2 linked regions of the Drosophila melanogaster genome follow. The protein of the gene in region 2 interacts with the protein of the main gene of each other region in a pairwise test. Each region holds a gene or a part of one and is shown on either strand. Other genes may lie near its edges.

Region 1 (6,264 bases), about 11 Mb from region 2:
ATTGCTGCCCCCGGAGTGTGTCCGATGGCAACCAACTCAAGTTGAAATTGGTCAAAAGTTTAACATATTTGCGTGTGTGTGTCCAAGTGGCGCACGGGTATGATGGGGGGGTAGAGCAGTTGGTCGTTCCGGTCGTTTTTGGCGCATTTTCGGGGAATAAACGACCCCGCAGCATATACGCTTTTGTTTTTGTCGAGTGGCCTGCTCCCAGCAATTTTGGAATTTTGGAATTTAAGTACGCAAACGGGCAGCTCAAGCGTTTAATCGTTTAATAAAAGTAAACAAAAAATTGGCGCTTACTTGAATAAAGTTAAAAACTTCATTTGGGTTTCAAATTATAAAAGTAATCAACTTCACTATACATAATTCAACAATAACTCTTATAAAAACTAAATAATAATAGTAATAATAAATAATAATAATAATAATAATAATAATAAACAATAAGACTAACAATAAATAATAATGAGTATTTCAACAATTAATAAAGCTCTTCCTTTAGATGCATAAAATATATTTACTGCTAGTTAACATTACACATTCAAAGTAATTCATATTTCGATTTCATTTCAATATTTGACTAAACTTTAACTATCAGATTTAGTTTATCTACGAACTAAGCTTGTGCTTCAGAGTAGAGGTACAGAATTGTTGCACGAGTATGTATTAGATAATCTCATAAGGAACGTATTACGACTAAGGCCTCGAGGCGAAAGGCAGCGCCTAAGATCTACCGCAGCATTGCAGGGTAAGTAATGGTTATATCGTTACTTCGATATCCGACAGCGCACTGGATAACAATCTAATCGGGTTAATACAAAGGCGTCGCACAACCGTAGGAAAGCTTTGACTAGCACTTTGAGATTCGAGTAAATGACTAAATAGATTTCAACGTGGGTAGGCGGCCATTAGGAAGCCTAGCTTTGGTTAGCATCTCAGTAGTTTACTGCAACACACAAACGGCGGAGGCGCCGCTATATTGGTTATTCAAGCGTCGACGCATTCCCTCCAGATAAATGTCGCGACTGAAGAGCCCAGCAGCCAAGGGAATTCTGAAGAAAAAGGAAAGTTCATTAGAATCCTATTTTCTTTGTAATAATTCCAATTACTCACGCATCGGTTCCTGCACGTATGAGTGTTCGAAAAAGCGCCCAAACTGGCTTGTGGTCCGAGGTGGTTATCGATGGCACCGAGTCATAGAGCAGACATTGGACATGCGGCTGCGTGGGTGTGGATACACCAGGCACTAGGGTCTGCCGACGGATGACTAGTCCCTGCATTTGGCGGTACTTGTAGAGAATGCGATCCGTGTAGGCGGGAGCTCGCTGCTTCGACGAGGTATCAAAGTTCTGGCTGCCCGGATCGTACTTGTACGTGGGTGGAAATGTGATGTTCGCCTCCATAAATCCTCGGAAGGCGGCGCCATCAGCCAGAACGGAAGTCAACTGATCCGTGTGCATGTAACCGTGCGGTAAATGCGACGGCAGCGGGAACTTGGTGTTCTGAATCCATTCCAGCAGCTTTTCACGCGGCTCACCCAGTCGAAAGTTAAGATCGCCGCACCAGAAGACATTGTCAAAGTTCTGCGTGACATCTTTGTTCTTATGCCGCTGATTGGGCAAATTGCGAGGCAAGTCCAGAGCATTGATTATCCGCTTAACGTCCGACACACGCTCTTTAACCTTCTGCTGGTGCGCCGTTAAATGCGAGGTCACAAACAGCATGGAAGTGCCAAACAGGCAAAAGGATATGGCCACGGCACCCTTTGTCCGAAAGGCGGAGCCCGTGCGCACCGACATAGATGCGTCCTCGGGAACGGAGCAGTACCAGATCAAGTCCCGTCGCATATACACAGCCAGGTGGAGGGTACCCAGAGTTGTGGCATGGAAGAGCACGTGAGAGGGACCTAGGGTCTCCTGAATGGTGACCTCCCACTCGAAGCGGTCTGGGGTGGACTCCTGTGTGCCCATTACCACAATGTCGGGCACGTGCTCCACATTGGCTGGCAGCACAAAATCATTAAGTTGTCTGCAATAAAAAGAATAATTGAGATATGAACTCATAAGCTTTTAGACTTAATTTATTAAATTTACATACTTGGGTGGACTGTGGCCATTCATATTCCAAGTTCCCACAAAGACGGTAATCTCCTTTTGCGGCAGCACGCGGCTTAGCTCACTGGGACCCAAAAGGGAAGTTGATCCCAGCCTGCCATCCAGGTAACTTCGCTCCCTGGCGTTATCCGCCGGGATCAGATTCAATGCATGTGCCGCCATTAAAGTCTGGCGAGCCAGATTAGATCCCGAACCCTGTCTTTGGAGTGTCATGTTCTCGTGCGACATAAACCTCACGCCTGGCTGCTCCTCTATGTGTTCTATTCCATCTGGCTGAGTGGCTATATTCGGCGAGGACATGTGCTGTGGTGTGGTGGCTCTTTTAATGTCACCAGGTTCTGTGGCTGCCTGAAGAGGGGGTAACTCTTGTCCAGGTGGATAGAGCTTTAAACGCAGTCGGGATCGGCAGGCTGATACTGCCATGGGTCGAATGGGCGAGCGATTTTGAAGGCTTTCGCTCCGTGCCACCGAAGCGCTGGCCGCAGCAGGGCTGCAGTGGGCAAAGAAGGTTTTGCTGGCCACCGGTGATTCTGGCGCACTGGCACACTCACTGGACGGACGCGGTCGGTGTGAGGATCCTTCGCTGGAGTGCAGCGAGCCCGAGTTGTTGTCCACCATGCTCCAACTTAGCGAGAGGTTATCGCGCCGCAGAACACTGTTGCTATCCGGTATGGAGTTATAACGCACGGTCACCGGCGGTGTCATCGGTTTCTTTTCCGCCTTGCAGCACAGACTGAACTGGTGACTAAATCTATTGTGATTGGGTGAGCGATGCTTGGGCGACTTGCGCCGCATCACCACGTCGGCTCCTCCATCGCTTTGGGAACCAGCATCCGTACTGTGCCGGTGCGAGTGATTCTTTCCTTTCGAGGAACTTGGCTTTGCACGCCTGTGGAAGCTGATCAGCCCGCTGTGCGACTTCTCCAGCGGCAGCGTTTGGCTTTTGAGGGTGCTCCCATTGTTATTGACATGGTTTGCAGACGTATCTGCATTGCACTTGGCGAAACTGACATCGTATTGGCCACAGGCGGACACGGGTCTCTGTTGTAATCTTGGCGATTCGGGTGTCACGGGATGTGGCTCCACCTTACTAGGTCGCTTGCTCAGCAAACCGAACAGGGAGCTCGCGGTCTTGTGACCGGATCTGGGACTGCTGGTGGAACTGGTTATCCGTTCCTCACTTCCCGCGCTGCTGTGCTGCATGTTGGCTTTAGTCCGAACGAAATGATTCTATCATCTAAGGTGAAGGTGCTAAGTGGTTATCATGCCCCCCTTTTGTCAAGTTAATTCGCTCTATCTGCCGGATCTCTCGAACCGAGCTCATTGTGCGATGGCCTCTGGCTGCCGGCCATATAAATAGTAAAGCCAGACGTCATCGAGCGAGCACAATGCAAATGCGACTTTGGTCCGGCGTTCTGGCTGGTCGCAATGCAAATTATTTTGGGCTCGGCGATGACGTACACGAAATCAGGCTAATTGGGCTGACTGGCGGCGATTGCGTGTGCTGTTCTGTAAGATTTTAATGAAGGTAAACATTTAGGCGGGTTGGTAATACCAAGGGTATAATACACTTACTAACCTGCAAGCAACTAAATAAAAAAAACACATATGTGGGCAGATCCTTTGGGGCGAGAGAGCTGAAAGGATTCAGAAAATCAATATGCTGGGTAATAACTGTGGCGACACCGTCGCGATATATAAAATGGGGAGGATTGTGGGCGATTTGGGGGGTGGTTGGTCGCGGAAGGGTGGTCTTTGGCGACGACGTAACAACATTGGCATGCTGCGGCGCCCACGCATCCAAGCACTGAGCACTCAGCATCTGAACGTCTGAACACAAGCACAATATCCGTCGTCTGCTGGCTGATTCGATTCTCTGGGATCGAGAGATTTATAATTAGCAGACCATTGTTCCCGTCAGCGCAGCCTTGTTGTTCTTGTGTTGTTGGCCTACGTCTAGCATAAAAGCAGCAACAATAGCACATAGCACACATGCGATATTCAAGTTCAGGTTCAGGTGCGCATTGATTTCGCTCTTGGTGTGCTTTTCATGTTCCGCACTGGTACGCACTACCCTTCCACGCTGCTGTCACCTATGCGATTTATGTAATTTTTGTATGATTTACCGCGTTCCAATGTTGTTTACACCCAAAAACTCCGAGCAAGTGCGGAACTTGTCGTGGGAACTGCGATTTAGGGGTGGCAAAAGTGGGCAGCCAACTGCCGATAAGTGGGAGCACGTATCGATAGGTGCGGGCGGGGGTGTTTCAGTGGCTGGGTTGTGACACGATAGATTTAAAGAAATATTTCTTAAATATTAATTAAGATTTGTATTTAATTGTGTTTCCAGCAAAACGTACCAATGTAATATTTATTAGGTAAACATACATAACAAAGCGCTATATATTCAATACAAAATTGTGGGCCAAGTACCCTTCAAAAATTTATTAAGAGGAATTTATAACATTATTATTAAATGTACTTTATTATTTTTTACAATTATTTAATAAACCGTTTCTTATATTAAAAAAAATAATAAGGTTTAATTAACTGTATTATACAGCCACACTAGAAGTGCAATCGAAATCGACTTGCTATCGGTGCTCGTAAGGCGCATCACTAGTATTTCGTTTCGGTCGGTACGCGGTTCAGCGTTTTTGTTCAACGGATTAGCGCAAGTTAAGCACGATGGCGGCCCAGACGATACTGTTTGATTTCACGCTGGACAAGGACAAGACGGCGGATGAGGAGGCGCGCCTCCAGGTGGCCAAAATCCTGCGTAACGAGCTGGAGCAGCTGTTCCCCCAGCTGGAGCTGGCCTACTCGATGGAGTCGCCGGAAAACGGCTACTTTGCGGTGCTGCACGAGAACAAGGACACGGTGATTACCTGCCGCATCTTCCAGCACGGCCTGCTGACGCTCAACGTGGAGTACTTCCTGCCCGATGGCAAGGAGCCGAGCATATCCTTCGACGTACGTATTCAGTGCAATTTAGATTCCTTTAAAAAACTCAAAAAACAAGCAAGCAAACACCCGACAGCAGCACCACCACCCACATCTTTCTTACCCTCCCAGTTTCCGTGTCTCGGCTGATTAGTTGGGGAAAGGGTTTTCCACCCACCGGGTAAAATTGATTTTCCGCGCACTTGTACCCGAGTGTTGTTGCTTCATCATACATACATGTGGGGGTGTGTGCATGGCAAGTGGGCAACCATGTGGGTGGGTTGATTGGTTGTGTGTGTGAGTGTGTTCCTGACCACTCGGCGAGCTCAAATGGCCGGCACTTGGTCAGGGTCAGTTCGTCCGTCCTTGGCCTCAAGTGATGGCTGCCCCCATCCCAGCACTTTCACCAGTTTCTATTATCTAACACCTCTGAAGCACACATCACATACATAGCGATTTCAGCTGGGCTTTGCTAGGTTAACTTGTCGTTCCGGTCCCGTTTCTATGCTTTTCACATTTGGCCGGAGCACGTGGGTTGGGTTCGACTCGCGATCTATTGATTGGCGCCCCTTTGGGGCATGGTACCCATACTAATAAGAAGAAAAACACCCGGAATATGCGGCCCTTATTACAGAAACCAGATTTCAGGTTACACCCTTAGGCACGCATTATTTCATTTGATACTTAAACTTTCTTATACCAGTTTACTCTACTTACGCATGCACATATAAACAAACCTAAGTCAACAAAATGACTGTTGATACCACAAATCTGAGGGTTTTCAAAATGACAACCAGTATTTGTTTGTAAAACAACAAAGAATATAAAATTTGATAGAATATTTCAATTTCTTCCATCATTTGTTTAAGTACATCTAAAATGCTAGAGAAAATGTCCCATGTACATATGCCTACAGCTACGGTAAGCTAAATAGCATCAAAAAAATTAAATTATGTCAAAAAGTCTAAAATTGTTTTGTTCTATAACTATAGCTTTAACAAAATCCCAAGTAAAATTTTTATAAAATTATATTTTTATACAATGATGGAGTTAGTTAGGATATAATCTCAACAAACCTTTGTACTTTATAAATAATTTAATCAAGTAATCGAACAAAGAAATCAACCTAAACCAACTTTTCTATAGGAGTAACTAATATTATCAGACCCATTATTATTTCCTCGTATCATTTGAAATGCTATATCTT
Region 2 (4,895 bases):
CTGGTTTCCGTCGACTAGATCGAGGACTACTGAAAGGAGTACTATAAGGGCTATACGGTACATTCGGGTAGATAGGACGAGTCTCATATAAGATTTGAGGTTTTGATGCCGTATTATGTTGAGGTGGTTCATTAGAAACTTTACAAGGATACCTTTTAACGCTTTCATAATCTAAGCACTTTTTCATTTTGTTTGGCTTATTCGATTCGGAATCGACTACGCATTTATGGATATCAGTACAAAAGTTTTCATGTATGTGTAGACTACATACTTTATCAGTGCACAATTCCAGAGAATGAAATTTAATAAACATTGCTTGCTTATCCAAGGCATTTCTTTCCTTAGGACTTGTATTTAAATTTGTATATAAACATTTATTGGCTAAATTTATTTCAGAACATTTTTCAAAATTTTCTACAGACTGGGATTTTTTAATATTCTGAACTTTATTAATATTTTCATATGACTTCCTTAATTCATCTGATATTTGTTTAAAAGTTTGTTTATCTTTCGGAAAAGTGTGATCGTGAGGTTTAAGTTCTCTCGAAACATTTATTGAAGAATTTTCTGCAATTTGAGTTTCTAATGACAACCCCACGATATTGTTTTCACATTGTAATTGATGGTCTGTACAGCGACTTTCATTAACAGCCAAAAGTCCACAACTAGCTTTATTTTTATGAAACTTTGAAGGAAATGTATCCTCAGTTTTTTTCTGAAAATCAACTTCTTGGCTGTTGACTTGCTGAGACTTTGTAATTAATAATGGATCTGTTAAATCCATTTTTTTTTATTAGTGTAATATAATTGTTTTGATGTTGTACGTGATAAAATCCTGCAAACAGAAAACCAATTTATCAATTTTATATATCAGTTTGATCAAATGCTGCATTAAATACTAATACTTTTGTTCGAAACACAAAATCCTTCAAACAACTCCGTAAATAGTAAACTATAACTAAAGACCTTCTTAGGCGGATTGATTATAACAATCAAGATTATACATAATCAAGCACTGGTCTTTTATAAAAGTATATTGAAATATACATTTAATCATGTAACATTTCACTGACACTTTTTAAAGTAAGTGTGGGCTAGAATGGACGTAGCAATATTTGCAAACAAATATGTGCGTTTATGACTCTGATAACTGCATGCTTAATCTCAACTCTAGCTTTTAAAGTTTCTTAGATCAAGGCGTTTATACGGACAGACGGACATTGAGTCGGCGAACTCGACTCTAGAATTATCTCTTGTTTTCGTTTCGTTATAATAAAATACAGATGCGGCACATAATAGACACATACGGTTAAATTAATTTTTATTAATTGTGTAACTTTATTATTTGTCTTGCAAATTTATAGCGGTATGCAAAACATTTTTTTGACACGCGCATTTTAAATTCCACAATCCGCCCTAAAGACCATCATCCACGCAATTGAATTTTTGTATATTAATTTTTTTTTTTTTTTGCTTTTTTCTATTTTTTTCTATTGATATGCCAAAAAGAATGTTGAACCTTCTCGTTCGCACTCCCACTAACTGACTAATGGGCATCTGATAACCGACTATCTAAGTCGGCAAAAAATCAAAAGAAACTTTACATTTGTGATGCGACACAGAACATGATAACAATAAAATTAGTAAAAAGGTATGAGCCAAAGGAAAATAAATGAAATTTTTTTTACTTTACGGTTAATTGGACGTGTGGTCCCATATTTACACTAAACTAAAAGATACTCCCAATTCCATAGGACATGACGAGTAACTAAAAATGATCATTCCTTATTGAACTACAGTTCTTATTTATGTACCAAAATATTTAGGAGATCTTATCAATGTTGTCTCATTTGTCATCATATGCACATCATCTTATATACGCAAAAGTCTATTAGCATAGGCTCCCGTTATTCGTAGAGTAAAACTATACTAGAAGGAATCTTTTCCCACGATATAAAGTATATATATTCTTGATCAGGATCAATAGCGGAATCGACCTTGCCATGTCCATCTGAACGTATGAACTTCGAGATCTCAGGAACTATAAAAGCTAGAATGATGAACTATGTTTCTAACGCCCTAAAACTGTCCAAAACTGCCACACCCACATTTTTCAAACATTAAAATCTTGTATGTTTCTATCGCTTTGTTCAAAAGCATTTTATTCAACAATATCTTTTGCTATCGCAGAAAAATTTTTAAATTTCGCGTTCGCAATCACACTAGCTGAGTAACGGGAATCTGATAATTCAAAATTCGGCCTGTTTGTGGGCATATGTCAATCTGAAACAAACGGCTGGATCTAATTCATATGACTCTAAATCCCAATCTTTACTTTCTGTAGGTTTCACAGTCTTGAAATCTGATCGTCCATGCGAACCAAAAACTGACAGACGGACATGGTCATATGTACATACACTAGAACTATTTCTTTAAGAGCTATGGCACTGGTTAAATATCCCAGGAAAAGTGAATCTGCCGTGTATGCACTTTGAAATGTTCGTTTGAATTTATTAAATTTTCAGATTTTACTTAATAATGTCCACATGTGCACTTTATAGACATATGTATGTATGTATATATGTGTGCATGTGCAAACGTTTGTGCAGTAACTATGTATGTATGTGTGTACTATGTGTAACTATGTACATATAATTTATACAATATACTTTAAATGACATTTTATATTAAATGAATTTTACTGAGTAATTTTTGTGCTTTTTCTATTTATGCACATATGTACGTACAAACATATGTATGTAAAACTCCTACAAATAATTTTAGTAGACTACAACAATTCTTGTTACACACCGATTGTATTTATAAACCAGTTACGTCATTATTGCGCCAATATACAGATGGCATCTGCATTTCGGTTACATCTCCCTTTAATTCGTTCTTCATTTAACTTCATAATCACAACTACACCAATAGAGAACATTATATAAAAATTACTAACTGGAGGAAAAACATCTAAGCTTTAAATAAAAGACGAATTAAAAGTTTCCCATTGCAGCTTTAAAAGCTCTTAGTCGTATCGATAACTAAGTCGATAGCTGGAATAATAATATTCCTAATATATTATATATTATATTATTATATTATATAACCACCATGTATATATGTATATATGTATATATGTATATATGTATATATGTATATATGTATATATGTATATATGTATATATGTATATATGTATATATGTATATATGTATATATGTATATATGTATATATGTATATATGTATATATGTATATATGTATATATGTATATATGTATATATGTATATATGTATATATGTATATATGTATATATGTATATATGTATATATGTATATATGTATATATGTATATATGTATATATGTATATATGTATATATGTATATATGTATATATGTATATATGTATATATGTATATATGTATATATGTATATATGTATATATGTATATATGTATATATGTATATATGTATATATGTATATATGTATATATGTATATATGTATATATGTATATATGTATATATGTATATATGTATATATGTATATATGTATATATGTATATATGTATATATGTATATATGTATATATGTATATATGTATATATGTATATATGTATATATGTATATATGTATATATGTATATATGTATATATGTATATATGTATATATGTATATATGTATATATGTATATATGTATATATGTATATATGTATATATGTATATATGTATATATGTATATATGTATATATGTATATATGTATATATGTATATATGTATATATGTATATATGTATATATATATGTATATATGTATATATGTATATATGTATATATGTATATATGTATATATGTATATATGTATATATGTATATATGTATATATGTATATATGTATATATGTATATATGTATATATGTATATATGTATATATGTATATATGTATATATGTATATATGTATATATGTATATATGTATATATGTATATATGTATATATGTATATATGTATATATGTACCAGCGGTGTCATTTGAAGTAGATAAGGGCTTTTTTCTCTCAAAATTGTGTTCTTGAACTCCTATTTAATAGAGGCAGGTACAACAATGTCATTCACATTAGTTAAGTTTGCGCTAGGGCAGATGAAATAGTAAAGTTTTTCATAAACGCCCTAATATTCTGCTAGGTTAAACTTTACTCCGGCCCGTGTCCAAGCCTATAAGAGCGTCGAACGAGTTGAGTGATTTCAATAGACAAAATTGAGAGGTGTGCTTGAAAACCTTCATTAAGCACTTTTGTTTAATATGGAGCCATGTATTGAACTTACCGAGAGCGGGCGACAGGCATTACATTTTTTAGCTCCTTTACGGGCTTAATGTAATTTTTTTACCGCGTCGGAGTCGATTAGCATTCTTAAAGTTCTCCCACGCAACCGTCGTTCAATGAACGGCAACCGGGAGAGTCCCCAAAAAAATTTAGTGAGTCGTCGCTAGGAGCGTACTCAGCGATCTCTTCGACTGAAGCCCTTGCTGCCTGTTCGTATTTCTGCTTGGGGTCTTAGGGTCTTTAGTCTTGGAGGTTTCTTGGACAACGTAATTAAGACGTTGACGTCTTTGACCTATCGAACGGTCCGAGGAATGTCTTCTCTTAGGAGCATTCGAATAATTTGGGTGGTTCTTATTGTGTTTAGTGCGCTGCCTAAACCTGGAGGACGAGTTGGGGTGCTTGGACCTGGTTGTCATTATTGGTTCTCAAAGTTCTCCTGACAAAATGTGGATTCCTGTCTTGGCCCTGCTCATCCTTGCTGGCTTTACCTTGCCTACAGTGGAAGCTGCTCTTGCCGTTTCCAGATGTTTGCACTCGGTCCTTTACGGCCTTGGCGTAGGAATTTGCAAACATGCTCC

What was found. Proteins that work in one complex are often made in the same cells at the same time.
Region 1: the proteins of CG17698 (region 2) and INPP5E interact in a two-hybrid assay, tested with the Drosophila melanogaster proteins (one large-scale study listed by BioGRID).

The regions. Positions count from the first base shown.
Region 1 is NT_037436.4:12,275,713-12,281,976, reverse strand, and holds INPP5E (inositol polyphosphate 5-phosphatase E), read right to left. Parts: upstream 4,323-6,264; 5' UTR 4,241-4,322; intron 3,752-4,240; 5' UTR 3,694-3,751; intron 3,624-3,693; 5' UTR 3,318-3,623; coding exon 2,098-3,317; intron 2,029-2,097; coding exon 1,114-2,028; intron 1,053-1,113; coding exon 944-1,052; 3' UTR 501-943; downstream 1-500. Other genes in the region: Sms (spermine synthase), read left to right, coding at 4,803-5,087.
Region 2 is NT_037436.4:23,736,101-23,740,995, reverse strand, and holds the start of CG17698 (uncharacterized protein), read right to left. Parts: upstream 3,037-4,895; 5' UTR 2,812-3,036; intron 836-2,811; 5' UTR 785-835; coding exon 1-784.